4 linked regions of the Notamacropus eugenii genome follow. The protein of the gene in region 3 purifies or fractionates together with the protein of the main gene of each other region. This does not show direct contact. Links are inferred from orthologs where the notes say so. Each region holds a gene or a part of one and is shown on either strand. Other genes may lie near its edges.

The links.
Region 1: the proteins of PRR3 (region 3) and METTL17 purify together in Homo sapiens (co-immunoprecipitation; 3 studies listed by BioGRID and IntAct, with this or other methods). This does not show direct contact. The link is inferred for Notamacropus eugenii from reciprocal best matches to the Homo sapiens genes PRR3 and METTL17.
Region 2: the proteins of PRR3 (region 3) and DHX37 purify together in Homo sapiens (co-immunoprecipitation; 3 studies listed by BioGRID and IntAct, with this or other methods). This does not show direct contact. The link is inferred for Notamacropus eugenii from reciprocal best matches to the Homo sapiens genes PRR3 and DHX37.
Region 4: the proteins of PRR3 (region 3) and DAXX purify together in Homo sapiens (co-immunoprecipitation; 3 studies listed by BioGRID and IntAct, with this or other methods). This does not show direct contact. The link is inferred for Notamacropus eugenii from reciprocal best matches to the Homo sapiens genes PRR3 and DAXX.

What each region holds. Positions count from the first base shown.
Region 1 is NC_092878.1:12,958,717-12,965,955, forward strand, and holds the start of METTL17 (ribosome assembly protein METTL17, mitochondrial), read right to left. Parts: upstream 3,135-7,239; 5' UTR 3,079-3,134; coding exon 2,998-3,078; intron 1,718-2,997; coding exon 1,564-1,717; intron 1,475-1,563; coding exon 1,343-1,474; intron 1-1,342. UniProt on the Homo sapiens protein: Mitochondrial ribosome (mitoribosome) assembly factor. Binds at the interface of the head and body domains of the mitochondrial small ribosomal subunit (mt-SSU), occluding the mRNA channel and preventing compaction of the head domain towards the body.
Region 2 is NC_092875.1:40,533,907-40,541,587, forward strand, and holds the start of DHX37 (probable ATP-dependent RNA helicase DHX37), read right to left. Parts: upstream 3,169-7,681; 5' UTR 3,063-3,168; coding exon 2,954-3,062; intron 188-2,953; coding exon 18-187; intron 1-17. UniProt on the Homo sapiens protein: ATP-binding RNA helicase that plays a role in maturation of the small ribosomal subunit in ribosome biogenesis. Required for the release of the U3 snoRNP from pre-ribosomal particles.
Region 3 is NC_092873.1:84,447,522-84,454,735, reverse strand, and holds the start of PRR3 (proline-rich protein 3), read right to left. Parts: upstream 3,099-7,214; 5' UTR 2,865-3,098; coding exon 2,792-2,864; intron 1,083-2,791; coding exon 1,020-1,082; intron 816-1,019; coding exon 501-815; intron 258-500; coding exon 154-257; 3' UTR 1-153. Other genes in the region: GNL1 (guanine nucleotide-binding protein-like 1), read left to right, coding at 4,077-4,149, 4,618-4,780, 5,141-5,277, 5,381-5,532, 5,697-5,768, 6,514-6,721, 6,905-7,000.
Region 4 is NC_092873.1:89,342,481-89,350,775, forward strand, and holds the start of DAXX (death domain-associated protein 6), read right to left. Parts: upstream 3,028-8,295; 5' UTR 2,937-3,027; intron 2,090-2,936; exon of another isoform or gene 2,060-2,089; 5' UTR 2,044-2,059; coding exon 1,837-2,043; intron 1,665-1,836; coding exon 842-1,664; intron 726-841; coding exon 511-725; intron 331-510; coding exon 114-330; intron 1-113. Other genes in the region: SMIM40 (small integral membrane protein 40), read right to left, coding at 5,078-5,320. UniProt on the Homo sapiens protein: Transcription corepressor known to repress transcriptional potential of several sumoylated transcription factors. Down-regulates basal and activated transcription.

The sequences.
Region 1 (7,239 bases), on a different chromosome or scaffold from region 3:
AATAGCTAAAATTTATTTAGCTATTTAGAGAATAGTTAAATAAATAATGAGCTGCTAGGTGGTGCAGCGGATAAAGTGCCAGGCCTGAAGTCAGGAAGACTCATCTTCCTGAGTTCAAGTCTGGTCTCAGACGCTCTACTAGTTGTGTGAACTTGGGCAAGTCACTTAACCCAATTTGTCTCAGTTCCTTATCTGTAAAATAAGCTGGAGAAAGAAATGGTAAACCACTCTAGTATCTTTGTCAAGAAAATCCTAAATGAGGTCACAAGGGTCAGACATGGTTAACAACAGCAATAAACAAAGTATAGCATATGAATGTAATGGAATATTATTGTGCTGTAAGAAATAACCAAATGGACAGTTTTAGAGGAAACTGGGAAAAGCTCTACGAATTGATGCAGAGTAATGTGGGCAAAACTAGAAAGATTTATATGACAAGAACACTGTATAGAAAAATAACTCTGAAAGACTTTAGAGTTCTGACAAAATGATAAACTGTGAGTCCAAAGAAGAAGAGATGAAACATATCACTTATCTCCTGCCAGAACTGATGGACTTAAAACGTAAATGAGATGTACATTTTTGGCTTTGGTCAATGTGGGAATCTGTTTTGCTGGACTCTGCATGGCCATCATGAGGATTTAAAAAAAAAAACTCCATAATGGAGTGTGAGGTATGGGAGAGCTAACGCTCACAAAATCAACTCATTAATTAATTAAAAGAAATAGCTGTTCATCAACACTGAGGCAAGTAACAATGTGTGGCAGATCATAACTCAAGTCTGAAATCACTGATACTTCTTTCTGCATTTGTCCTGAAGGAAAGTGTGCTGGGAAATCAAGAATGTCATAACTGTGCGAAAACACTACTGGAAGCTAGTTCAAATCTAGGTTAAGTCATGGGTGTGACAGAGGAATGTGTGTGGGTGGGATTTCATTCTTCAGTACAACCTGGGAAGGTTCAACACATTTCCTGATCATTCCTGATCCAGATCATTCTAAAGGAAGAGAGAAAGGTCTGGATATCCAGGCATCCCCTGGTATGTGATGTACAACAGAATCAAAGATGTATGATACTAGTATAGTAATGTGTTTATCAATTACCAAGTGTTCTGCACATATATTTCTCATTAGGTCTTCAGACTGAATACTTGTAATAAGTCATATGGGTATTAAATAATTCCCATTTTACAGATACATCTAACTTCTGGCTGTAAAGCGTTATTTATGACTGATTTCACCAAAGACATATTGGAAGATTAAATATCTGTCTGTAAAGTTGAATCTTTGCTCTCTGAATCAGTCCAACCTGGCTTCTTCCTTCGGCTCATCTAAGCCTTTACCTGTATCCTGGAGTTTATTTTCCAGCTCTACTGCTTTTCTGCGCAGCTCCTCAGGTTCCATAGGAAGCTTCCGACTCCAGAGGTAGTTGGTGAGTGTCTGAACTTGCTTCTCTATGTTGGGCAGAGAGCTTTCTGTGGGTCAGACATGAAAAGGGGCTATCAGTGAAATGAAAATTCCTTTCTTTTCTCTGCTTATTTTCTTGATCAAGAGAGTTGCTCACCCTGCAAGAGCCTCTGGGCTGCAGTGACCAGGGCTTGTGGCAGCTGCACTTGGGACAAATGGAGGACCCCTGGATGTTTGCGGTGGGCTCTCTTCCCCAGGAAATCCAATATATCATTCTCCTGGGACACTCTGGGACCAAGGTCGGCAAGCGTCTGAGGTCCAGAAAGAGGAAAACCGAATGAGGTTAAGTTGGCGAAGGAGGAAATCTGGGTAATAACAGCTCACTTTTTATGATACTTTAGGATTTTGAGGAATGTTTTATGTGCATTATTTCATTTGACAAAAGCTCGGCACAGCACAGACTGAGACTTCTTAAACTGCTAGTCCAGAGGCACGTTCTGGAGGATGGCAGCATGGCAAGGTAGAAGGGATCCCACACCTGTCCTTTATTACCTACAAACTCTTTGTAAAGCCAGTGGTTTGAGGTAGATATCCTCTAAGACCTCCTTCTAAATCTGCTTCAGGACAGGCATCTCCTCCAGGGATGGGGGGTTCTCTTGGCTTGGGGAGTGGGGTTGTCCCCCCAAAGGCTGGCACCTCAAACGTGAAGCCAGTGGCTTGAGGTAGATATCCTCTAAGACCTCCTTCTAAATCTGCTTCAGGACAGGCGTCTCCTCCAGGGATGGGGGGTTGTCTTGGCTTGGGGAGTGGGGTTGTCCCCCCAAAGGCTGGCACCTCAAACGTGAAGCCAGTGGCTTGAGGTAGATATCCTCTAAGACCTCCTTCTAAATCTGCTTCAGGACAGATGTCTCCTCCAGGGATGGGGGGTTCTCTTGGCTTGGGGAGTGGGGTTGTCCCCCCAAAGGCTGGCACCTCAAACGTGAAGCCAGTGGCTTGAGGTAGATATCCTCTAAGACCTCCTTCTAAATCTGCTTCAGGACAGACGTCTCCTCCAGGGATGGGGGGTTCTCTTGGGTTGGGGAGTGGGGTTCTCCCCCCAAAGGTTGATGCACAGCTGCCCAAGGATTCGGCCCACCCCACATGCTCAACAAGTGACTGCCCTGGGTCCGAGAAGGCCTCGCTGTGGGTGAGAACGCCTGGAATGAGCAGGGCTGATGGATTCTGACTGGGGGCTGCTTCTCTGGGCCCAGGAAGCCCGGACAGCCTGGATCAGACTGGGTGCAGCCGCAGGCTCTGGCCTCGTTCGGCCCCTCTGGCCTCGTACACGTGGAGAACGCATCTACATATATTTGCATATTTGATTCCCAGACTCCCACTCTCCTTTCTCTCTCCCCGCCCTCCCCCCCGCTTTCATCTTCCCTTTTTCTTTTCTATCCCATCCTCTGCCTCGCTCTTCCTGTCTCCGTCCCTCTAGGACTGTGTCGTGTGCGATCACAGACACGCGTGGGGATGGGGCGGGTGGGCTCCCCCTCAAAGGCCTTCCCGACGCGACCGAGCAAGGCTGTTTTCAGGAGCGGACCAAAGTTCTCACCCGGAACAACGGGGTTCCCGCCGGCGAGCAGCTCCACCTTCCCACCCACGGCAGCGGCCTCAGCCTTCTGGTGGCCGCCATGACTCCTGAGGCGAACCGGAAGCGGAATTGGAGACGCCCGTGACCCTCCGGGGTTACCTAACTCTTCCACATCCTCCAGAAGAGCTGGACACGTCATCAACCAATCGGGACAGGACGATGATTTCTAGGGGCCAATCGGCGGTCTCTATGTAAATTTATGGTGACGCAAGAATGTTTTCCCTGGTGAGAAGATGGACACGTGTCAGATTTAGCCAATGGGAAGAAAGCGCAGCGTGCGCGAGGGTCTCAGGGGGAGGCAGTCTTTGGCCCTGTGTCAGTTTCTTGCAGGAGTGTTTTTTTTTTTTTTTTAAAACCTCTGCGGTTACAGTATTGGTTTGTTCGTTACATTCAGGATGACGTCATCCAGCATCTCTTCTGAAGTTTTACATGAACAGATTGTATAACAAAACGGTACTCCCTTGCAAATGCTGTAGAATCACCAGAATGCTGTTTTAAAACAGTGGCCCCTGAGTCATCCTGTCCAAACCAAAAATGATTGCCTAATTAGCAAGAAAGCACGTGGTTAGTTTTAATTAGTACAAGTTAATTTGGTTTGGTTTGGGAAGGGAAAAATATTTGATAAAACTAGGTGGTCTTGTAAACATTTTACCTTTAAGACCAAATTTTAAGTGTATTTATCACAACTGAAATATAAAAAACCCTACTAGGAAAAACATTTCTCTTTAAAAAAGACTGCATATACTTTTGTTTAGAACTGGCTTTTAAATAAAATCTGGAAATCTGGATTTACATAGTTAGAAATGGTCCCAAATAGAAATTTCATGTTTCCCAAAGACTGGTCTTCATCCTATATATAAGTCTACTTAGTTTAGTATGTCCAGTGCCAAAGATTAATGTGTTAGTCTTATTTTTCAGTTCACGTTTTTGAGGCACGTTCTGAGCTGTTTTGAAACGTGAGGATTTATAAACATAACTTCAGTTACATAGTAATAAAGTTATAAATGTATAAAATCCCCACATAAAGATTAGAAAATGCACCCTTCTGTTGGTCTTTCAAGGATGGAATTTTAGTATGTTTTACTCAAATAATTCCATGCTGCAAATTTATTTCTTTTATTTTTCCACTTGGCCAATATTGTAATTGGATAGAATACTTCATCATTGTCAAATCTGGGTTTATTAACTTTTGCTTTCCAACTGAGAAAAAACATTGTTTCTATAAAACTTTTATTACTGTATCATGAGTATGCAGATCAAAGCTTTTTAATTGGCTAACTATATGAAAAGATGACCCAAGTGGATATACAGAAGCAAAGATGAGCTTCCCCTTAAAAAGAAAAAAAAAATTTTCAAGAGCACCTATGAAAAAAATGATACTAATTAAAAATATCCAGTGTGACAACAAAGAGTCTCTCAGAGGCTGTTTTTTAGAGGAAAGGTGAAGTCAGCATCTAGTTGTTAATTGGAAAAAAAGAGTAATAATAAAGAATTGAATTTGTAAAGTCTTCTCATATGCACTTATCACCTTTGAGTGTTGCAGGAATTGTGAGATAGGATGAGTCACACTTATTTTGAAAAGAGGAATCTTGAGTATAGGTAAAGTTAAGTAACTTGCCCAAGGGTTTCTTCTCTGAGGTAGGTGTTAACTTCATAGTTTAGCACTCAGTGATTTCAAATCCTCCCCTTCCTCATTTTTCTCATTGCAAAGGAGGGAGAATGCAGTTCCAGGGAGAGTTAGGAAAAAAATGGCATGTGATTGAAGGACATAGAGGAGTGTACTGAACTAAAGTGTAGGCATTGTAACTGTTAAGTAGGGATTTTAATGGAAGGCACCAACCATCCTGCTTGCAATGAAAAGTGCACCATAGGACTTTGGACTTTATTACTACCGGGACATCCTTTTGTTAGTCACTTCCATTACTGATTCAGTTTCCTCATCTGTAAAATGATGAGATTGAAAAAAATGATCTGTGAAGACCCTCTGCTTTCTTGTTTCTTGCTTCTGTTAGTGAACAAGCATGTATTAAGTGCCCAATATGTGCTAAAGACTGGGGATACAAAGGCAAAAATGGTTCCTACTCAAGGAGCTGGGGAGACAACATGTAAACCACTATGTGCCAAAAGAAGATATAAACAGAATAAATTGGAGATGATCAACAGGGGTGAAGCACTAAGGTATTAAGAGGAATTGGAAAAGCCTTCTCATAGAAGGTGGAATTTTAGCTGGAACTTGAAGGAAGTCACAGGACAGAGATGTAGAGAAGAGTATTCCACGCTTGGGGGACAACCCATGAAAATGCCTGGAGTCAGGAGACAGACTGTCTTGTGAGAAGAACATCATGGAAGGCAGTCTCACTGGATTGAGGAGTACCTGGAGGGGAGTAAGGAATAAAGAGATTGGAAAAATAGGAAAGGTCTAGGTTATGAAGGGTTTTGAAAGTCAAATAGATGATTTTATACTTGATCCTGGACAGGATAGGGAGTCAGTTTATTGAAAGAGAGAGAATGGCATGGTCATACCTGTGTTTTAGGAAGATCAATTGGATAGCTGAGTGGAGAATGGACTGGAGTGGGGAGAGACTTAAAGCAGGGAGATCATGCAGTAGGCTATGTCAATAGTCCAAGAGGGAAGTGTTAAATGCCTGTATCAAGATGGTGGCAGTGTTGGAGGACAGAAGGGGGATATATGAAAGGTGTTATGAAGGTAGAATTGACAATATTTGGCAAACAGATTAAGTATGGAGGGTTCCCTAGGATTGTGAGTGTGAATAACTGGAAGGATAGTATTATCCTTGGAGATGCAAGACTGCAGGTTAGGAGAGAGATTAGGGCTGGATAAGTAGATCTGGGAATCATCAATACAGAGATGATAATTGAATCCATGGGAGCTGATGAGATCACCAAATGAAAGTGTATAGAGTGAAAACAGAAAAGAGCCAAGGATAGAGCCTTAGGGGATACCCCTGGTTAGTGTATATAACATGGAATGAAGATCCAGCAAATGAGGTTGAAAAATAATGGTCAGGTGAGTAGGAGAACCATAAGATCACCAAGTTAGCAATATCAAGAAAAACTAGAGAGCAGAGGGTATCAAGGAGAAAAAGGGGATGGGCAGCGTCAAAGGTTGCAGAGGACTCAAGAAGGATGAAGATTGCCACCCTAGTTCTCATACTGATCTGGTACTAAGAAGAGTGGTATGGGATCTTTTCCCCACCAACATCATAGCTGGGGCAAATGAAGCAGAGAAAAAGGGCTGAGGATGGGGTAGCTATAAGATGGGCAGCTAGGTGATGCATTGAATAGAGTGCTAGGTCTGGAGTCATGAAGAGCTGAGTTCAAATCCATCCTCAGACCCTTCCTAGCTGTGTGACCTTAGGCAAGTCACTTCACCTTGTTTGCCTCAGTTTCCTCATCTATGAAATGAGCTGGAGAAGGAAATGGAAAACCACTCCAGTATCTTTGCCAAGAAAACCCCAAATGGAACCATGAGGAGTTGGATATGACTGAAACAACTGAGCAACAAAGGGAGAAAAGTCTTTGCCTAGAATAATGCAATATCTCCACGGGAAATTTTAGACCTAAATCCATGTGCCCCTGGCTCCCAGCCTGGGGCATTGTCTATTTCACTGCTCTGAGAAAAATACCCTTCTTACTTGGTCATGGATCAAAGACATACCAAGTGTATATTTAACACTAAGCACTGCACACAGTGCATAGTACGTAGTAAATGTTCAATAAATATTTATTGATGATGATGATAAAATGAGGTCTCCAAGTCTCAGGGGGTGACCTCTACATCTCTTTGCATGGAGAAGTCCGGATAGGGACTGATCAGATCCACACTCCCCTGGAAGCGGCATAACATAAACCCTCATAACATTTTACCTGCAGAAACAATTCATACTCTAGTAATTCTCCAATATTTATGCACCCATATTCTATACTATAATTAATCTTCTGAGGATCCATATTTTAAGAGGAATGTGGATAAACTAGAGAATGTTCAGAGAAGAGAAAAAAGTTTTTGACAAAGGAGTGTGAGTGTGTGTGTGTGTGTGTGTGTGTGTGTGTGTGATTAGGTGAATTAACAATCAATGGTTATTTCACAATGAATAGTGACTAACCAACTGTGTTTAGTGTTCTGAGGAACTATTCTTTGCTGAAAAGGTGAGAAGAAATGTTGAACATTATAGTTAGATA
Region 2 (7,681 bases), on a different chromosome or scaffold from region 3:
GATGGGGGGGCCCATACCTCGGTCTTTTTTTTCTTTTGCTCCAACACCTTCTGGAGGAGCTTCTTCTCCTTCTTGGTCAGGGGTTTCTTCTCCTTCTTGACAGTGGGTGTGGCCTTCTTCTTCTTCTCCTTCCGTCCAGGCAGGACAAGCACGTTGCTCTCATCCACTCCTTTCCAAAGGCCCCTGTCTGGAAGGACACCCATGCCTGAGTCCTCCCAGACCACAGAGATCTCCAAGATCGAGCGGGCCAGCATGAACAGGCACAGGATGAGAAGAGCCAGAGTCCAGTGTTGCCCCAGGAGCCCAAGCATGCAGACAGCAAAGACGTGAATATCAGGAAGGATTTTATATGAGAAAAATCAATCATCCAATTATACCAGGACAACCTTATTTTCTTGTTTTGATGGAGCAACTAACTGGGCAGAGAGACCAAGGGAATGCTGGAGCTGGGGTTGACCTAGACTTTGGCAAAGCCTCAGATAAAGCAGCTCATGGAAAAAAGGAGAGGGGTGAGCTGGGAGACACCACACACTTAGGAGGACTTGGGGACTTGGGATTTGCTGAAGGGCTGGGCTCACCTGGGGGCCATTAATGGGAGGAATCCCACCTCTGACGCCTCCTACCCATTTACCCTTGGGTCCCTCTAGTATCAGCCCTTCATCCATAAATGGGCCCTACCAGCTCTAGGTGGAGGATCCCTAAGGCACGTAAGGTGGAGAGGATTCTGGGAAAGGGGGAAGAAGTTGTAGCTTTGCCACATTGCCCTTAGGAAGGAGGAAGCCTTCAATAGCCTCTCTAGGACAACAGCCCCTCAGAACATCACCATTTTTAGGACTTCAACTAAGAGCAGCTTGAGGGCAGGGGGCTGCTTTTTGCGTAACCCAGTACTTGGCATGGCACATAGTAGGTGCTTAATAAATTTCTGTGGATTGATTGTGACCTCTGAGATCAGTGCACCTCATTCACCTTTATAACACAGAGCCTTAAGGTTTGCACAGCCCTTCACAAGGATCTCATCTGATCCTCACAATTCTGGGATGCAGGTGCTTTCATTATCCTCATTTACACCTGAAGAAACTGAGGTAGGCAGAGGTTAAATGGTGTGCTCAGTCGCACAGCTACTGTGTCAGAGGCCAGATTTGGACTCAGCCTTTTCAAACCCAGCATTCCATCCACTGCGCTACCTCCATACATATACAAAAGCACCTATCTGTGTGTATACATTCTTCTGCTATTGTTTCAGTCTGTGTCTGATTCTTCATAACCCCATTTGGGATTTTCTTGGCAAAGATTCTGGAGTGTTTTGCCATTTCCTTTTCCAGCTGATTTGAAGGATGAGGAAACGGAGCAAACAGGTTAAAGTGACTTGTCCAGGCTCACACAGCTAGTGTCTGATGGTGGACATGAACTCAGGTCTTCCTGACTCCAGGCCCAGTGACCTATCTGCTGAGACATGTGTGTATATACGCACACATATAATATATGCAAGCACACATGTGCATGTGTATATACATGTGTATGCATCTGTACAGTATGCACAATACACGCCCTCATATATGCAGGCACATGTATACATGTATGCAAATATGCATACAAATATACATACATCTTCAAATACAGGCTTCAGGTTCAGAAATAACCCTCACACAAGTATGGGACAGGGAAAAATATTAGGAGAACAATTTGAGTAAGACAAAATGAGATTTTCAGGGTGTATAGGTGCACAGTCAAGCCAGCTGTGTGAGGCTGATCAGCACTCCAGGATGGCCATCTCAGGCTACCTTATGAGGCCAGGACCACAAACTGATAGAGGAGAACGATCTCTGTTCTCTGTCTGGTGAGGCTGATCTAGAGCAAGGTGGTCCATTCTAGGTACCTCACTTTGGGGACAGTGGTGACCACAGGAAGAGGGGCTGGGACAATGTTCAGACCAGAATCTTGGACCTAGGGGAGGCAAAAGATTCTGTTGAACAAGGAGAAAAGACTAGGGGGAGAAGAGAGGAAGGGGGAGAGACAGTAATGAAGGGATTTGTGACAGCAAACCTCCAAGGTTGTTTAGGAGGGGAATGAAGGAAGACTTGTTTTGTCTGGTCCTGGAAGGAATGAGAGAAAGATGCAGAGACAAACATCTGGGCTTAAAAAGGGGGAAAACTGTGAGTGCCTCATGGTAGAGGCTGCTCAGAGCCGGTCTTGTATGTTGTACAAAGAGATTCCTGAACTAACTGGGATGGGGGGGGGGCACCGGGGCTCAATGGAAAGTCCTTTAGTCAATTAACTACCATTTAAGTGCCTACTATGTACCAGGTATTGGGGAATACAAGGAAAGCCAAAAGACATCCCATGCTGACAGCCTAAAGAATATCAGATCTGGCCTCAGGACTTAGATTCAAACCCCAGCAGGGCCACTTCTGTATTCTGGGCAAGCCCACCTCACCTCTCTGGCCTCAGTTTCCTCATCTGTCAAATGACAGGGCTGGATCCATGACCTCTAAGACGTCTTCTAGATCTAAAGCTACGATCCCAGGATCTCCTCCAACTCTGAGAATTCGTGATTCTGGGAGCCCAAAGCCGTGTGGACACCTAAGTGGTCACTGGGATGGTCAGGGTGGCTCGGAGAGGGGACTGGTCCAGGGTCACAAGGAGCTGATAGCAAATACCGACAGCCCTCACCCCCCACCCCCACCCCTCCAGGCAGGACAGACAGCTGAGCATCCGCACCCCCATCTCACAGAGGAGCAGCCTGAGGCCAGCCTCGGGACACGGGCTCCGGAGCCCCATTCTGCAGGTCAGTAAACGGAGGCCCGGAGAAGGGAAGCGGGGTAAGCCGAGGCTGGGTGGCTGCTGGTTAGAGAGGCCTTTTTTTTTAACCCATTAATCATGATTGAACAACCGGAGGCTGGGAGGGGAGGGCTGCTCCTGGAAGCCCGAGGTTCGGAGAAGGGAAGGCCCTTACCGTCCAGCTCCAGCTGCACCTGCACCCCCGGCCGCTCCGGCTCGGACCCCGCCGGCGGCTGCGGCTGCTGCCGCCCTTTGACGTTGTATCGCCGCCGCAGCCTCCCCATGGCGCCGGCTCTCAGACCCGCAGCCCCGGCGGCCGCGGCAGACACAACAGCCGCGGAGACCACGCACGTGCGGGCGGTGCTGGCCCCGGAGCGCACGAGACTTCCGCCTCCAGATCTCGCGAGAGCCGCCTGGAGGGGGTGGGAGGAGGAGAAGGGGCGGTGCCTAAACTCCAGGTGGAAACTGACGAGGAAGGGAGGGGAGGGAGGAGCGTGAAGGGCTGGGGGCGGGACGAACACTCAGGAATGCACCCGGGCCCAGGGAGGAGGGGAAAACAGGCCCCCTGGGGGGCTGCCTTTAAGTTCTAACCGTGCAGGAAGCCTTTCCCAAGCTTCTTCATTCCAGTGCCTTCCTTCTGCTCATTACTTATTGGTTGGTTGTTGTCCTTGGTTCTCGAAGAGGACCAAAATGACCTCACCGTGATATACTTGCTGTGTGTGTGTGTGTGTGTGTGTGTGTGTGTGTGTGTGTGTATACACACACACATATATATGTATATATACACACATATACATATATACACACATATATATATACACACATATATACGTATATATACACACATATACATATATACACACATATATATACATATATATACACACATATACATATATACACACATATACATATATACACACATATATACGTATATATACACACATATACATATATACACACATATATATACGTATATATACACGCATATACATATATACACACATATACATATATACACACATATATACGTATATATATACACACATATACATATATACACACATATACATATATACACACACATATATACGTATATATACACACATATACATATATACACACATATATATACGTATATATACGTATATATATACACACATATACATATATACACACATATATATGTATATATATACACACATATACATATATACACACATATATATACGTATATATACACACATATACATATATACACACATATACATATATACACACATATACGTATATATACACACATATACATATATACACACATATACATATATACACACATATACATATATACACACATATATATACGTATATATACACATATATATACGTATATATACACACATATACATATATACACACATATACATATATACACACATATATATACGTATATATACACACATATACATATATACACACACATATACATATATACACACATATATACATATATACACACATATACATATATACACACATATACATATATACACATACATACATACATACATACATACATACATACATACATATATATGTTTTCTTGTTAGATTGTTGGTTTCTTGAGGGCAGGCTGGGCTTTTGCCTTGTTTTGTATATCTAGCACAATTCTTGGAGCATATTTGTTTTTCTGTAGTTTCAGTCTTAGCCAGCTCTTCATGATCCCATTTAAAGTTTCTTATCAAAGATGCTGGACTGGTTTGCCATTTCTTTCTCCTTCTAGCACTGTGTTCATCCTTCGTTTTCCAAGAAGACCACGCCATCAGAGAAATGATGACATGACTTGCACTTGACTTTGTTTTGAGTGAGGGAGGACTGTGCAGGTCACCAGCCTCACTTCTCCTCCAGAGCCATCTGAATCCAGTGATTCATCCGGATGACTGGAGACAGCCCAGTATACAATGGGAGACCTTGACTTTTTTAGGCTGGGCCTTTTCAGTATTTACTTGGGGGGAGGTAAGACCCATTGAGTAGATAGGCCTCTTTAAGAAGTGGTCAGGGAATGACCCTTGTAATGAGGGAAAGAAAAAGTAACTGGGAGGGAAACAGAACCTGTTACTATTGATAATCACTCTTAAGCCCACCATTAAGTGGAGCTTGGGCAGGGACCTATTGTTGTGGAACCTATGGGCTTCCAAATGCACTGGGTTTAAGGTTTGGCAGAAAAGGAAGGAAGGAAGGAAGGTAGGAAGGAAGGAAGGGAGGAAGGGAGAGACATCTGGCCACTAAACCCAAAGGAAAAGAAGAGGGAGACAGAAGGGAGAGTGTGAGCTGGGTTACATAGTAGGCACTTAAATGTTGATTGATTGACCCAGCTATATCACTACTAGGCCTATACACTCAAAGAAATCAAAGCAGGAGTTAGTGGCTGTAAATGTGTAAATATATTTATGGTGGCTCTTTTTTTGTAGAGGCAAAGGACTAGAAACTAGGGGGAGAGGGGTGCCCATCAATTACTATGTTCAACTATTTGTGACCCCATTTGGGGTTTTCTTGGCAGAGATACTGGAGTGATTTGCCATTTCCTTCTCCAAATCCTTTTACAGATGAGGAAACTGAGGCAACCAGGGCTAAATGATTTGCCCAGGATCACACAGCCACTAAATGTCTGACACCAGATTTGAACTCAGGAAGATGACTCCAGGCCCAGCACTCTACCCACTGTGCCACCTAGCTGCCCATCAATTAGAGAAATGGCTAACAAATTATGGTATATGAATATAATGGAATATCATTTCACCCTGAGGGACATTCTAGGGTTTCAGAGAAACCTAAGAAGATTTGTATAAACTGATGAAGTGAAGTGAGCAGAAGCCAATTTACAAAATAACAACATCAAGGCAATGAAAACTGATTCCAGAGAACTGATGATGAAGCATGCTACCAATGTCTTGACAGAGAGGCTTCAAAATGTAGAATAGATAAATTTTTAGACATGGGAATTTGTTTTGCTTCACCATAGATACTTAGGAGGGTTGTTGTTTTTTTTTTTTAACTATTTTTCGGACAGGATAGAGAAAAAGTAATGCTGGTTAATTAAAAAACAAGATAAAAATTAAAAAAAAAAAAAGGGCAGGGGAAGTGACCTTGGAAACCATGTAGTCTTCAGGAAGGAAAATGAGTCCCAGAGAGGTTAGGTCACTAGCCCAAAGTCACACAGGGCAGGGGATTCAATCCATATCTGTTGACCTCTCTCCACTAAGGACAATGGTTTGCAATTTGTCTTTGGCTTCCATCCCCAGAATCCTTTCAAGACTTCAGTTTCCCTATCTGTAAAATGAAACAATTATTCTTATCATCTCTTCCTCCTGAAAAAAAAATGTTACTTGATTCTCAAAACAACTGTGACAGAGAATAGGCAGGTTTTGTTTCCATTTTTTCGATTCTACATTTATTAAGCAGTATGAGAACATTAGTTTGTATATAAACCTCCAAGGTTCATAAAATGTTTTGCACACAATCTCTCATTTGAGATAGAATGAATCAATTTCATCTTGGATACATTCTAGCTCAAACCACTGGCAAGCCATCTAACCTCGGATGCCTCAGGCAACTCTCTTGAAGAATTCAGATGAGTTGCAGATCTGCTAGGGGGTAGGAGGATGTTTCATACCCAGAGTTTCCTGGTGTAAAATATGTAAAATCACAGGGTCCAGACCCATTCCACCTTAGGGACCTTACTGGCCCCTACCTCCTTTAAAAAAAGTGAAAGGAACTCACTGTCTTACAAGAGGAAGAGGAAACTGGATTAATAGAAAGGATAACAGGTTCAGGACCCAGATTTCCTGATTCCTCTTCTATCTAGCAAAGTATTGGAAGATTTTAACATTTCACCAGGAGGCCAGGCAGGCAACGATCTCCAGTATGCAGTTGAGTTTGCTTTGAATGGGCACAGCTAGGGTAAGGGGACACCCAAAGGTATTTTGAACTCTGATTTTGAAGGCAGCTAGGTGGTGTAATACTGGAAACGGAAATTACAAACCACTCTGGTATCTTTACCAACAACCCCCATGGACAATGTTGTCATGATATCATCCATCCGGTCAGGAAGAGGGACACAGCTCAACAACCAGACAGCAACAAGGTGGTATCATGAATAGAGAACTGAGACCTGGGACTTAGTAAGGTCTTTCTCAAAATACCACCAGGGATGATGCCTCTGTGGTTTCTGGCAAGTCACATGATGTTTTGAAGCCTCTATTTATTCTTCTGTTAAGTGAAGGAGTTGGATAAGATAATCTGTGAGGTTCCTTTCAACTCCCAACCTATTATCCTATGTCCCCAAAACAAAATTTACTATCTTCGTCCCAGGATGCATTTCTCTCCTGAACTTCCTTATTTTGACAGGAGTATCACTATGCTTCTAGTCACTTAAGTAAGTCATTTTTGACTCTGCCTCCTCTTGACCTGAAAGTTTGGTTAAAGGAGGCAAACAAATTAGGTGATATGTAAATTTATAGTTTATTCCCTTAAAGTTAGTCTAAGCTAATGAGCTTGTATGTACAAAGAGACAAAATGTAAGTTCTGACTGTTTGAGACAAGAATGACCAGGCTTAAATACATTTTAGAACAATCTCAACTCAGCATGTCTGTGTCACTCACATTTATGATCTCCATATATAATTAACCATATTATGAGAAAGGAACTTTCTTAATTGAATAAGTGGTAAATACAATGAGATAAGGGAATTGACAAAGTGTCAACTGAAATTATGACCCAGGACATCTGTGTTTTCTAACATGCCATGATGTAGTATATATCCACAAAATATAAAGATATAGAAAAAGTGCTATTATTCCAGATAGTGTCTCGGGTTAAAGGGCTCCTAGACAGAGAAAATAA
Region 3 (7,214 bases):
CAGGTGAGGGAGGGAGAGGATCAGGCTCAGGCTCCTTCCTTGGCCAGAGATGCTGGGCACAAACACCTCAGAGAAGCCAACGAAGAACAATAGGGCAATGGGCTTCCAGGATAGAAAAGGTCCACTGGAGCCTGACTGGTGGAAGGCACAGTTTTACAATGGAGGTCCATTCACTCCTGGGTGGTAGAAGGCACAAAGATCCTCATAGCGACAGTGGCCCTTTGAGAAATGTCTGCAGACAGGGCGGTTGGATTTATCTGTGGAAGTGAGAAAAAGGCAGTGTAAGACTTTGGGAAGACAAAAACTAGGACACCTCTGGGATCCTGAAGGGAAACAGTTTAATAACTGCTATAGTCTTCAGCATCCTAGGATAATGTTTTGAGAGAGGAAAATTGAGAGGTACCTTCAAGGTAAAGACAGAAGGGCTTCTGGGATTTGTACTTCTGGATGTAATTATGTGCTACTAACAGGAATAAAATATACAGGGTGATGGCACTAACCTGTTCTATCACCTTCCTGGACTCCATCCTTGAATTGAGGGGCGTTCTTGGGCCAGGGGATGTTCTTAGATGGATGGTGACTATTGCCCCCTCCAAGGTTTCTCCATCCATTGGGAGGACCATTCCTGGCATGGTCCCCATAGCCTGTTCCCCACCTAGGTTCTGGATCCTCATAGGCCCAACGGCTATGTGGGTATGGTCTAGGCCTGGGTCCTGGGCCCCCTCTCATTGGGCATCCTCCCCAGAAAGGAAGTGGAAGGCTCAGGAGTGGGGGAATCACTGGTCCCCTTAAACTCTGAGGGCCTCTGTGGAAGCCTAAAGAAAGACAATGAAAGATAATCAATTGAATCCAGGAAAACCCAGAAATTATTTTTCTTCTTGAGTCTCATTCCCCACTTCTCCCAATCCCCCAAACCTCTTTCCTACAGGAAATGCTGAAGTGCCTTGCATGTAATATGCACTTAATGTGTTAATCCAAATCAATCTAGACACCTGTCCTTTTAGACCCTTTCCACTCACCTGGATCAGGGCCACCAAACTTCCCATTGGCTATGGGTGGAGGGCCCAGGAGGCTGGGTGGACCTAAGAGAACAGGAAGAAATAGGTTAAGCAAAACGTAGCAAGGTCTAACTTAGTAAAGTCCAGTTTACACAACAACTCAGTACTATTTTTACTGAGTTCTCCTTTCTTTGTGCTACTACACCTACAACTCAATAGCACATGGTTATACAAACAGTTCAAATCTTATTTTCCCTCTACTACTAGCAAGCACTTAAGGGCCTACTACTATCTATGTGAAAGGAATTATCCATAGTATAAAGACTAGATGAAAAAGTCTCCGCCCTTCAGATGTTTACTTTCTGTGGATACATACAGAATCAAAATGATGGCCTGAAGCAAAATGTATCATGCTTTAGTAGAATCCAAAAAAGCAAAATCTGTTATCAAGATGTCGAAAAAGAAACGAGAAAAACCAAAGGTACCAAATGGCACAGCCTTCAATCAAAGGAAGGCTGACAATAAAGCAAAGAGACCTCAACATGTTTTCCTTAGTATGAGTCTCCTTTTGTTATCATCCATTAGCCAAAATTTAAGAAATGCTTTTCATGCCACAGGAACTATGGATACCAAACACATGGGGAGTAGTAGCTAGGGAAGGAAGTTTTTGATTTAGACAGTCAGTAAGACTGTCAAGCCCAAAGCAGCCCTGATGACACTGACTGAGTTACTGGACAAGTACCCCAAACAAGATGTGAAGGGGAGAGAGACAGACAAAATGACAGGTGGCAAACCTGTGACAAAATTCTTCCTCCTAGGCCCTCGATTAATGGGGTGTGGGGCCACCAGAGCTGAAGAAGACGACTCACCCTCCAAAGTAAGCAGATCTACCCAAGTCCCAAAACGAACCCTTCCTTATAAATCTCTGGCCTTCCTGGGAATTCCTAGCAACCTTCTCCTAACTCTCATCTAATTTGATGGACTTCTCTCTTCGCCATCCCCTAGTCCTCATTTCAGTTGGGAGAGGTCTAGAAACATTTGCATTGATATGAAGTGTGGGAAATCATTTAGCCCACTCCCTACACAATCCAACACAGATGAGGCAAATGAGACCTTTCTGCACAAATTTGCAGGTAGTCAACAGCACGGGTTAGAACTCCCGACTCCTCATACAAAGCTCATTCATTACTAGCTCTTCTCATTCCCATCATCTTGAACTACCAAACTTTATTTTATTCTGGATCTGTCTCACCCTTGGGGCTGACAAAGAGGACCAGAAGAGACAATGGGGGAAGGGTAGGAAAACTGGCTTTTACAAATTCTCTCCCAATTACAATGGGTAGGAGTGGGAAGGCGAGGGAGAAAGAGGATGCAGTTGCCCGGGCAAACTGCTTTTATTCGTCTACGTCAGAGGCTCTGGGCAACATCTTTAGGCCGGCGCTCTCATGGACTTTTCCCGGCCGATGCTCCGGACGCACCACTCCCCTATTCCCCCAAGGCACGTGCATCGGCCTCCCCCTCCCTTCCTCCCGTTCGCGGGCGCGCCACAGCACCCGGGTCGGCGCATGTGCGCGCTTATACTTCTAGCTCTCCCTGCCCTGCAGTCCTTAAAAAAGGAAGGGGAATTCTGCTCTCGCCAAGCCTCGCCTCGCGCTATTCTACGGGAAGATGCAACGGGTTCTTTCCCTTTCGGGCAGCACTAATCTCGCCTTCTCCCTCCACGCCCGAGGGATCTTTATTTGTCTCGTGCCCCTGTGCCAGGCCTTCCTCAGGCGCATGCAACTCTCCCTTACCAGCGGGGCTCCCACTCTCCTCATCCCCACTCTCCTCGGGGTCCGGTGGCCGCTGCTTCCCCCTCTTGGGCATCACAGCCAGCGTAATAGCAACGATCAGAGTCGGGCCGGTGGGAGCAGGGGGCGGTATATGGAGGGAGAGAGAATCCGATTATTTCCGCTTCCGGCAGACCCATCCAGAAGCGGCGAGTGCGCAGGCGCGTGCCTTTCCCACCGTGTAGCGTTCCAATGTAAGCTCACACTCCAACCCTCCCTTCCTCCTCACCCCCTTCCCCCCTCCTACCTAAGGGAAAAAAAAACCGACATCACTTGGAGGCGTAGCCTAGAGTGGAGAGGACCGCGGTCCAGAGCGTTGGGACAGGGGGGAGAAAGAAGTCAAGCAGCGTGGTAACCTCGGTAACCTCCCACAGCCCACGCCGCCGCTTCATGACCTCTGACCTCCCCCCCAGCATCCTTAGACCATCTCAGTCTCAGTGCCTCTTAATTACAACCTTTTAAACATCGCGATTATGTGGCCTACTCCCACCCAAGTTTTGGGGTTTTTTTTAACTTCCACTAGGTGCGGTGTCTCGTGGCTCCTCTGAACATGACCTCTGACCTTCTCTGAAGGGATCTCCAGGGCAACCTAGTACTTCATCATTCTTTCCTCTCTCCCCTCCCCCCCTTTCCTTTCAGCTTTGTTCAGCCTCCTTGCTCGTCCAGGTCACTTTAGTTTAGCTTTATGCTCTTCCCCACCTCACAAGTGGTAGAGTCCATTCACCCCACCAGGTGAGTGGGTAGAGTCTCTCCAGGAACGAAAGGTAAGGATGGTTCCCTCGCCCCCTTTCTCCGAATGGGAATTGGTATCGCCCGTGACGAAGTCAGTACCGTCGGTCGGCGCTCCGGCGCGGCTCCCTCTTCCACACCCCCAAGAACCGCCCCCCTCCCTCCCCGGGACTCCTGAGGGACTGGCGTGTGGCCGGCACGTCGCGCGTCTCTCTGTCCTTGCACTTTCTTCAGCCTCACACACACTCTTGTACTACTGGAGGGAAGTGATTGAACTTCCCCACCCAAATTACATCGGTGGCCCTTTCTGTGTTCCCCTACCCACAACGCACTCCCCCCTCCCCGAGGAGGAGAGACTTGGTCTGACCCTCCGCGTGACGTCACGTCGGAGCCCCGCCCCCAAGGGTCCCGGGCCCTACGCGGCTGGGGTAGCCCGGGGCGGGGGGGGTGTCGGTAGAAGCGAAACGACGGCGGCTGGAGCCCGCAGAGGGCTAGAGATCCACGGGAGCCAGGCCGGGCCATGCCGAGGAAGAAGCCTTTCAGCGTGAAGCAGAAGAAGAAACAGCTGCAGGACAAGCGCGAGAGGAAACGAGGTAAGGGAGGGAGGGAGCGGAGGGGGGCGGGGCCTGAGTCTCCTGTACATCTGGAGACAGGGATGAACTCTACATCTGGGGCCAGGGTGGAAGGTGGCGGGCAAAGCCAGCCGTTTCCCATCGAAAGGAGAAAGAAGAAAGAACCTCCCACCTCCCCCTCATCTGGAAGAGGAGGGAGTGGACGGAGAGCCCTTGTCCGAATCTGGAGAAGAGGAGGATCCCTTTAGTTGGAAGAAGAGGGGGCCCCGTATCTGACGAAATGGATGCTGGAGATGGGAAAGAACTGGCTTCTCCCTTCTGGTCCTGGGAGGCTTCTGTTCTGGGTGTGGAGAAGGACAGAGAAACTGGGTCCAGAGGCAGAACACTTGGGTCGATGTGGGGGCAGAAGCTGGGTTACCAGGGGAGAGCTGGACGAGTCAGACGCGGGCGCCCGTGTCTGAGAGCTGGGCGTCATGTGCCTGCCTGCAGGGCTGCAGGATGGGTTACGCTCCAGCTCCAACAGCCGCAGCGGGAGCCGGGAGCGGAGGGAGGACCAGACGGACACCTCTGATGGAGAATCTGTGACCCAGCAGATCCGGCGTCTCAACCAGCAGCCAACCCACGGCTCTGGCCTTCGCTTTGACCCCAATAGGTAAGGGTGGGGAACGCGGCACTTGGGATTTTCCCTCATTGTCTTTCTTGGCAGTAAAGGAGGGTAGCGCGTAGGTGGAGGCCAGTGAAGTAGAAGGCTCAAGATAAACTGAGATAAAAACTCTGTAGGAAGGACTTTGGATTCCTTAGTTATCCTGAGGCAATTTGTTCGGATTTATTGGGAGAGGGTGGAGAAGAAAGATTTTATTTGTAGAAAAGGGGACTTTGGAGACAAGCAGAAGATTAAGATACCGGGATCCTTACCGAGAAAACATGCCTATAATTTTGAAGGGGAATCCGGAAAATGATGCCTTGTGGACACTCTGTACTAAGTTGAATACTTGGGTCATCATCTCCCCAGATACCGATTACACTTTGAAAGAGAAAGCCGGGAAGAGGTGGAACGGAGAAAGAGGGCTGCCCGAGAACAAGTGCTGAAACCAGTCAGTGAGAAGTCTCTGGAGCTTGACATTGGAGACATCTACCATCCAGGCTCCAGTAAGGATTGAGATGCAGGGGAGTAGAAGATGGGAGAAGGGAGACAGCTGGCCAAAAGTGGTGCTGAGAGCACCCATGCTTCCCTTCTTCTTTACTTTCTCAGACCTAGATTTTCCCCGTCGGCCCCCTTGGAACTATGAGATGTCCAGGGAGCAATTGATGAGCCAGGAGGAACGGAGCTTCCAAGAGTATCTGGGGAAGATCCATGGGTCCTATACCTCTGAGCAGCTCAGCTACTTTGAACACAATCTGGAGGTGAGATAAGAGCAGGGTATTATATCATCCACCTGAAGAGTTGGACTGTCCCTGAAGAAGGGGGAGTGACACATGGACCTTTGTGGAGTTGCTGGTGCATGGTTGCAAATTACCACTGATCTAGCAGCATAAGGGTCAGATTTTCCTCACCTATTTTCTTTTAGACCTGGCGACAGTTGTGGAGGGTGCTAGAGATGTCTGATATTGTCCTCCTCATCACAGACATACGCCATCCAGTAAGTGAGAGAAACCAAGCAAATGGGGCAATGGGTTGGTGAAAATTAAAAGGCAAGAGTTGGGGGGAGGGGTTAGGAAAAGATTTTTTCCTCACTTTTTAAACCTGAATTCCATAAGACAGGACTCTAGTCTTTTTCTATTTAACAGCTACTTTCTCAGCCAGTCCAACTACCTTTTGTAGCTTTGAAGGGTGGAACAAATTCAAGTGCTTCTCTAGGAACCAGCTAAGTAACTCTTGGGGACCCTCTGTTCACATCCCTTCCTTCCTTCCCAACACTTTCTCCCCTGCTCTGACTTTTCAGACTGCTGTGAATTAAACAGCAGCACTTCTCCAGTTGTAACTTCTTTCCAGTTTAAGAGTAAGGGCTTATTTATAGGTTTCTCTTTTGGTAAGAAATAAGAACTTTTCTATCCTCCATCCTGCCTCTGCTGTTTATCCAGTTTACCTGGTCTTCCTGTTTCACTTTTCCTATCCTCAGATGTCTCTCTCTTATTCTCTGTTGCTGACAAACTAGCCTTTCCTCCCCCAGAATACCATGTATTTCTTTCTCTCAAGTGTTCTTTTGGGATTTCTTTTGTTCTTTGCATATCTTTTACTTATTTGGTTTTATACTATCTTACAACTACAGAAGTTGATACCTGTAAAATCATTCCTAGTAGATCAGAGAGAGAGGAATTGAAGGTTCCTAGGTAACTTATTCTCATTCCTACTTCTTCATACCCTCTTTCCCCCATCCCCCGCAGGTCATCAACTTTCCTCCAGCCCTTTATGAGTATGTGACAGGGGAACTAGGGCTGTCACTGATACTAGTGCTGAACAAAGTAGACCTGGCTCCCCCAGCTCTTGCCATAGCCTGGAAGTATCACTTTCGCCTGCACTACCCCCGGCTCCACCTTGTTCTTTTCACATCTTTCCCTCGGGACCCCCAAACCCCACAGGATCCAAAGACTGGTGAGTGAAATTTGGAAAACATAGGGATATATGGGAGAACATATGAAGCCCTCTGAGGGACACAGTTACAGGGGCTTTATGGAATGGAGGTAGCAAACAGAGGTCAAGGATGATGGGTGGAGCAGGAGGAAGAGACAGGATCTGGCCCTCACTGTCCCTTCACCTCTCCCCTTCTATTTTCAGTCTTGAAGAAGCGCCGGAAACAAACAAGGGGCTGGACTCATGCCCTGGGACCAGAGCAGTTGCTAAGAGCTTGTGAGACCATTACTGCAGGAAAAGGTCTGAGTGTATATTTGAGGAAAGGCCTGAAGAGGGTTGGGGAGGGTCTGGGGTTCTTCCTTTGCCTCTTACCAGAAGTCAGCCTGTCAGTTATGACGTTTTTAGGAGAATCAAGGGTACTAGCAAAACTGACTAGAATATCTTCCACTGTCCAAGGTATATGTGAGCAGGTGGGGCCCTTGGGAGTTTTTTTTTCCTCCAGCAAAATCTTCTT
Region 4 (8,295 bases), about 4.9 Mb from region 3:
TATGGAAAGTGGTTAACAGTAGGAAGAAAATGGGAGTGCAAGATGGGAAACTGAATATGGAGGGAGAAAACAACTTGGGAATGGTACTTGGGAATGGCATCCTCACATAATACCTGGCTCATCTTCCTCCCCTGGGCCCTCCTGGCTCTCTTCCATCTCTTCCTCTGAATCGGTGAGCTCCTCATCTTCATCTTCATCCTCTTCCTCCTCTTCATCTTCATCATCATCATCATCATCTTCATCTTCATCCTCCTCCTCCTCCTCCTCCTCTTCATCTGTCTCAACTTTGGAGACAGTGGGGCAGGATGTGGACTTTTCTCCACTAGGGCCCTGCAAGAGAGGGAAGGCCTTTAATGAAACCATTCTCCTAAATCTTTATTCTCCTGAGTATTTCACCTCCCACAACCAGTTACTCTCTTCCCCACAGATTCCCTGTATAAGACCTGGGCAGGATTCAGTCCTTCAGAAATATCTGATCTGACATTGGCATCCCCTGTCCTGCCTCCATACCTCTCCCGAGTCTGTGGATGCTGTTGGAAGGTCTTCATTGTGAGGAGAGTTTCCTTGGCAAAACCGGGCTCTCCTTCTCTGTCTCTCACCCTCTTCACTCTCATCTTGCATCATTGCATATTTAGAGATCACTTCATCCAGCCGACTGAGTGCCAAGTTTCTGTTCTCCCGAAGCCTACGAGCCAGGACAGGGTCTGACAATGCAGGGTCAATGCCTGAGGTAGGAGGGAGGTGTGCAGTGTGAAGACATGGAACCAGAACGCCTAGCTCCAAAGCCTAAGGAGTAACACCCTCCCCACAGGTCTAGTGTGTGTGGCCCCACTCCCTGTACCTGGCCTATAGTCATCTGTGAGGTGACAGCCAAAGTTGTAGACAAGATCAAGATGGCGCCGCTCCTGTAACTTGGTGCCAACATCTCGAAAGGCATCCTGAGCGAGAAGCTGGAGCTGTCGCCTTGGGAGGCAGAGGCCATGTCTCGTGGCTGCCTTCTCCACAGCCCGAAGGACATCCCCATAGTCAGGAAAGGTGTCTGGACCAGGCCTATTGATGAGACGCTCCACACGGCGGTTGACCTCTGGGTATCGAGTGCCCCGATAGGGTATCCGTTGCTCAGTCACACGGCCTGTCAGGGAGCTACATGCTTTTAACTCACACAGACGCCCAAAGAGTCCTAGCAGCTTGCGTTTCAGCCGCCCCTCCTGCAAATATGCAGAGTCCGGGTCATCTAGCTCCGATAGGTCCAGCTCCTTTTCTTGTAGTCGTTTTATCTCTCCCACGTACAATGCCAGCAGCTGCTCTAAGCGCTGGATCTGTCTCCGTGAACCTCGGGGTCGTGGGGAGCCAGGAGCAGTTTCATTGGTAGGGGCAGGGTTGGAGGAAGGATTGGCAGGAGGTGCATCCCCAGGGGGCTCAGTGGAAGCAGGGGTCAGGGGCACCTTCCTTTTGATCGAGTGCGCTTTGAGCAGTGTACAAAGCTCATTAATGAAGACATAGAGCTTGGTAGGCCGGGTTTGGGCACGAGAGAGGACACGAGACAGCACATTTCGGAGCTCAGCTGAGGCCAGGAACGTAGGACGAGCACGTTGCCTTCGGTTACAGAGGTATGGGACGACCTCAGGGTGTTCTCCAGTTTGCTTCTTACACAGATCAAGAAACTGGGGTGGAGCAGGGGAGGGTGAAGGGGGAAGTCCGAGGGATTGGAGGAAATGAAACAAGGGAGAAGGTTGAGAAAAACAGAAAGATAGAGTTAGTAGGACAAAGTGATTAAGGACAGCTTCTTTGGCTCCCCCTCCCTGGTGCATAAGAACCTTCTCCCCTGCAGCTCACCTCTTCAAACAGCTTCTCATTCTCCAGCTGGTAGCATTTCTTGCTGCCCCCACTACTGCTGCTGCCTTCCCCACTGGACTGGGGAGAATCAGAGGTTGCTGCCAGGGGTTGGGCCTGATTTGGGGGTGGAGAGGAAGGCCCTGGCTGGGCAGCTGCTTCATCCTCCTCCTCATCATCCAGTACGATAATGCTGTTAGCGGCAGCCATGGGGGGAGCGAAGCCCCTGGTGGGGGTGTTGGGGATTTCAGGAATCCTGCTGGGGGGGATGGGGCCTCAGAGACAGCCCCTCCAGGACATCCCCCCCATTCTCACACCTTATAGCATCAGTCTCACGTTACTCAATAGATGCCTGCTCCCCCCTCCCCTGCTCATTGCCTACCCAAGGATTTCTCGGTCTGACCTCCCTGTCGTGAGAGTGTCTAGTCCTCTGAGACAAGGCTGACTCCACAAGCTTTCTCCAAGGCCCCCAACCTCCTCCCCACCCCAAAACTCTAAAGTCCCACCCATTTGGCTCCAACCCTCAATCCTCTCCCCTCCACTTCCGGTCCCATCTTCTCTGCTGCCAGCCACCAGGATCTTATTCTTTCTTAAAACATCAGCCCTGTGTCAGGCACCAGCAGGGCTGCCATCCTTGCCCTCCGTGCGGCCCATCTCACACCCGTTAAAGACCGATTCTCTCTGCTCCGCTCCTCAAATCTTCATTCACCCAGCCTCTCTGTCTGCCTGTCTGTCCTCGCCTCTCCCTTCGGGGCTGTCAGCAGCGCAGCAGTCCCGGGGCTTTCCTTGGGCACGGGCCCGGCGGACGCTTCCTCCTGTCCTCATGGTCCCCGCTCACGGCCCCCTCGCCGGACCGCAGAAGCCCCTAGCCAAGCCCCCCCGTAGGCGCTTCTGGGCCCCCGCCCCCCCATTCTCGCACTCACTCCCATACACATACACACACACACATATATATATACATGCGCGCGCGCCCCCGTGCGCGCACGCGCTTCCTCCTCAAGGGAGAGTCTCCGGCCGCCTTCCCCCTCTCCCCACCCCAGCCTTGTCACCGGGTCCTCCCCTCAGACTCTTCCCTCCTCCCGCCTGCCTCGTGAGGCCCCCACCTCAGAAACAGTCCCTACGCCGCGGCCGCCGCCTCCACCGTCGCTGTCCGTCCCTCCCCCCTCCCCCTTGCCCCCCGCTCCGTCACCCTCAGCTCTCCCTCTCCCTCTCTCTCACACTCTCCGCCCCCCCTCCCGCGTCAGACAACGCGCAGGAACGGAAGCGATCATGTCTCAGCCCCGCCCCGTACGTCCCTGGGCGCCGCCATCCCACCCTAATGGAGTCAACCGAGGGATATAGGAAGTGACGACACACAAACTACCTGCTGGATCCCTCTGCGGGAGACGGACTGCAAGTCTCCCGGTGGTTTCATTGGCCCACTCCGACCAAATGCCTCAGAGGGGAGGGCTTCTCTGAGGCCTGAGGACTCGGAAGTCCTTGAGGGGAAAGGGGGGGCCATCTTGCCGTACGGCATTCCTCAAGACTGAGGGAACCCAATCTAATCGAGGCCAGGCAGTGGGGAATGGATATACCTCCGGGGATTTGCCAACCCGTGGTCACGAGATGGAACCCTTGCTCCACCAATCAGACACCGGCGTCCCTCTGCTCTCCCTATCGTTTGCCCAATAGCGCTCCCAAACTAGTATTGGCGGGTGGGAGGGTGCATGGAGGGGGGCGGGGAGATCACTGTAGTGGACCGTTCGGTCCATTGCGGGGAGGAACCGTCTGTCCCAGGCCTGCCAGAAGGACTTAGGCGAGCTACGAAGGGAAAGTTTTCTTCCAAGGCTTATATTGCTGTCTGACCCTGCCTCCACCTCTGGTGCGTGCCCAGGCCACTCCGACCTTCCAAACCGCCTCTTGGAGCCCCAAGAACCGGCCTGGGGGCTGCGGGTTCTGTGAATCGGGATTATTCCTCTCCGTACGGAATGTGTGCGCGTAAGTAATCATTCTCTCCACCGCTCAGGAGAGTCATGTAAACAGTAGCGATCTCGAACCTTGGGGGCCGAAGAGCAAAACGCCGACTCAGCGTCAGTGCCCTCAAAGGTCACCGTGGCAACCCAGGGACGGGAGAGCTGGCCCCGCACACCCGGCGCTGCGGCTTACCTGCCGTACCGCAAGATGGCGGCCTCCAGGGCGTGGGGATGCGCCCGTCTCGCCTTGCGGGGTGGGGGCGGGGAGCTCTTGCTTCAGACTCTCTCTTCATCTGGGGGTCCCGGGGCTGGAGGGGACCGCCCTGTGGGAATGGCCGGTGGACCCTGAGCACTTAGTGATGATGGGGAAGGTGAAGGGCGTCCAGAGTCCAAGACTGGAAACGAGGCTTTTAAAAAACCAATGGCCTCTTTCTGCCTGGGCGAGTGGGGGGGAGAGAAGAGGAAAGGAGCGGAGGCTGACGCTTCTCACAGAACCCCAGCTTTATTGGGGGGAGTGGGGAGGCCGGGGGGACACAGGACTGGTCCTGGCGCGTGTTCTGGTCCCTGGCGGGGGAGAAAGCAGGGTTAACAAGACTGGGGCAGCGGGGGCGCCCCCTCCTACCTCCCACGGAGCCTGGGTATGTCCCCCTCTTTCTTCAAGTGTCCTAGCTACGGAGGAGCCCTGGGCTCTAGTTCTGCTTCAGCTCGAATGTCTTCCCCTCTTTGGGACTCAGTTTCCTCCTTTATAAAGTAGCAGGTGAACTAGATCATCCGAGGAAGCTGGGTGTCGCAGAGGACCGAATGCTGGGCCTGAGTTCAAGTCCTGCCCCGCACACTCGTGGGCAAGCTGTTTAAAACCTGCCTGCCTTAATTTCTTCCTACTTAAAATAGGGGCCGTAATAGAACCTCTCACCTCCCAGGGGTATAATCAGGAACAAATGAGATAATATTTGCAAAGCACTTTGTAAACCTCCAAGTTCTCTGTAAATACTAGTTATTATTATTAGCTCCCCTTCCATGAGGGGCTCCCAGCTGTCAGCCCTCCACCCAGGGCTCTTCCAAACTTTTTCATCTTTGGAGCCTCCCATGGCCCTCCCCTCCCCCCACCTTGTCAGAAACTTGTCTGATATCTTACAGAAGCAATGGGAGCCGTTCACTGTGAGCTCCCTCTTCTCTCTTCCTTTCCTGTTATTCTCTACTCCTTTACCACCGTCTCACATGATTCCTCCCAGGAAACCTCAATCTCTGGTCCTGTTTCTCACCTGAGTTGAGAGGGAGGAGTCATTCAGTGATTACAGCTCCAGTTCCTCTTCTCTTTGAGGTGTTCCAAGCAGCCAGCCCCAGAGGTTTGCCCAGGGTATTGGCCACAGCAACTTGTAGGCAGCCTCTAGCATCAGCACTGCCAGGAAGAGGGCAAGAAAAATGAAAAAGGCCCTATCTAGTGCCCGAAGAAAGGGGCCCCTGGGAGGAGTAGGTCCCTGGGCAAATGCCAAGAACACATCTCCCTCATCCGTATCGCCCTCCTCCTCTGCCATCCTGACTTGAAAGCCTTAACAGCTGAGCAGATCACGCTGTACAGGATGGAGACACTGGCTCAGCACTACTTGGATTAGTGGTAATTTAGGGGGGAAGGAGTTTTCTTGTTGCATCTATCCTCTGTGACCTAATTCTCCAGAGACAGAAATAATAACTATAACATATAGCCCTTTAAAGTTTTCAAAGTGATTTACATATATTAGTATGCAGTCTTAGAAGGAGTAGACTATTAGACTGAATCATTCAATCACAAGTGTAAACTATAGGTATATTAATCAATTTGAAAGAATTGTAGGACTGATCATTGGATGAAGACAGATAAATGACATCACACTGGAAAAACCTGTGTTTATAGAAATAGAAATATACCTGGGACCCTAGTTGTAGAAGAGTTACAATCCTGTGGATTCAAGTTTTATCCAAACCTGTAAGAGGGAATTGCGCTACCTATTAACCATGGTATTGTAAAGATGTTATTGGATCAATAATAGAGTTTATCCAGCTACTAGGCCAGTAGCAGAGAGTACATATGGCAGGGAGGCATCAAAGACCATAAAACTCTCATGGCAGAGAGAACTGACCAGCTATTAATTCTATAAGTCACTGACCTTCCAAGCCCAACAGATGCTGCTACTCCTCAAGAGAACTTCGTGAAGATTCTTTGAAAGAAGAACCAGACTACTACTAACCAGGAATCTTGAATTACCCCTTTGCCATGTGTGCCTCACACCCTTTGTGCTTTACATTTCTACCTGCTCTATCCATCAATCTTGTGTGTTTTTGTTGGGGAGTATACCCAGAGGTGGGGGGGGGGGGATTTTTTTTCCCCAGCTACCATTCTTGCCACTGTATTTCAAGTCTATACCATCATAGTAAATACCTTCATTAAAAATTATTTTGAGGACATTAGAGGATTATCAATGGGAAGCACATCAGTGGGGGCTCCTGAGCTAGAAACTCACTTCCTCACAGCTACCCCTAAGACACTGAAAGTGGTAGATAGTCACTCCGGGAATTCAGCTGGCCAATATAAATGAGAATTGGGGAAATGGCCAGAGGGAGTGTTGCCCATACATTTGAGACATGCCACAACCCTTAAGATAGGCCCACTTTACAGATGATGAAATAAGGCTCAGAGAGCCTTATTATTATTGACTTACCCACAGTTACACAGATGCTGAGTATGACCAGAAACAAAAAAATTTCCTGATTCCAAAGTCTGGCTGCATCTGTTATACCTCCAGGAACTAAAGGCTTTTCATTCTGACATGTAAACAGTCCCAAATGCCCATGGTGCAAGGGCTACCTGTACTGACACCACATTGACTGTACTACTTGATCAGGAAAATCCTTACTCGGGAGACTGAAATTGGCAGCTGGGCCCCTGCACCATTCCTCTTTCCTGCCATTACCTCAAAAATATGCAACAACTTCTAAATCCCAAGTCTGCCCAAATAGGTCTATGAGCGAAGGAAGCACTGAATCCTCTTCCTGTGTGTAAGCGTAGGTGTTCCTGCAGACCTAAACTTCTTCTCGTATTTGAGAATTCTGGGGTACTGGTTTTCATAGAAACAAACCTATGGAATGTCAGAGCTGGAAGAGACTTCAGCAATAATCTAGCGTAAGGAAGGAGGAGACTTAGGCTCACCGAGGGGGCGTGACTTGTTCCACAAGGTCTCACAGTGAGTTTGTCAGTTTATAAAATTGTTAATGATATGACAGTTAATAAGAAATAATTTTGAAGAATTGTTTTGGGAGTAATTAAATCTTGGTATCAGTAAATGAATATCTAATCCAAAAAGTCAATATTAATACATCTTTTCATTTTAGGAAAGGAGGAAAGAGATGTTAGAAATTTCCTTTTTAACTGAAGAGTTACATGCACTAGTGGGGCAGTTAGGTGGTGCAGTGGATAGAGCAGGATAGAGCAGGTGAGTTCAAATCTCACCTCAGACACTTGACACTCACTAGCTGTGCGACCTTGGCCAAGTCACTTAACCTCAATTGCCTCATCCTGGGTCATCTCCAGTCATCCTGATGAATATCTGCTCACAGGATTCAGATGGCTCTGGAGGAGAAGTGAGGCTGGTGATCTGCACATCCTTCCCTCAGTCAAAACAAAGTCAAGTGCAAGTCATGTCATCATTTCTCTGATGGCATGGTCTTCTTTGGCAGCAAAGGACAAACATACACATGCAAATAATCTCTCTGCCATAGGATCTTCCCTTTACTAGGGCACTGGAGGAAGATAGGTGAGTGGGATAGGTGAATACTTCTTAGTAACATGGCCAGATTAAGCAGGTCTAAGTTTCCTTTTCCCTAAAGTGACATGATTAATAGAAACCCGAAATTTATGAAACCCAAGACCCAAGTGCCACCTCAGCCCACGCAATCCAAAAACGATTATGAATTTTGCTTGAAATCTGTATTGGCTGAACTTCTGTTTCCTTGTTCCGTGTAAGGGGATTAGTTTTCCGTGTTTAGATTGTAAGCCTGACCCCCAGTCAATGGGGGGAAAAGGGTCAGCTGTTGGGGGGGGTGGTTTGGGGGAGTTTCCGTGTTAGAAGTATATAACCACACTTTTGCCTTCTGTAAGCTGCTTCTCCCTGACTGCTGGTCGGATTGGAGTGGCCCTTTCTCTTGAGATTGTAATAAAATTCTTTTCTACTTTCTGCCTTGAATGTCAAGTAAAGTGTTAACTTTAATTTGGGTAAGGGTTTCTGTACCACACATAAGTGAGCATTAAAGTCCATGTGCCTTCCAGAGGTATTGTAACTACTTTATGTACTGAGAAAGTAAAATTGATTCCATTTCTTAATTCTGTTTTTGTAATTCTGTTTGTAGTTGATTTTATTCCATATTTTGTGTAACTACCTAAGACGCTTTCTTTGCCTCTAAATTAAGAAGTTTGTAGGTTCAGCATTCCTCTTTGAGCTAAGTTGGCCCCATAAATCACCTCTACACATTTTCCTGC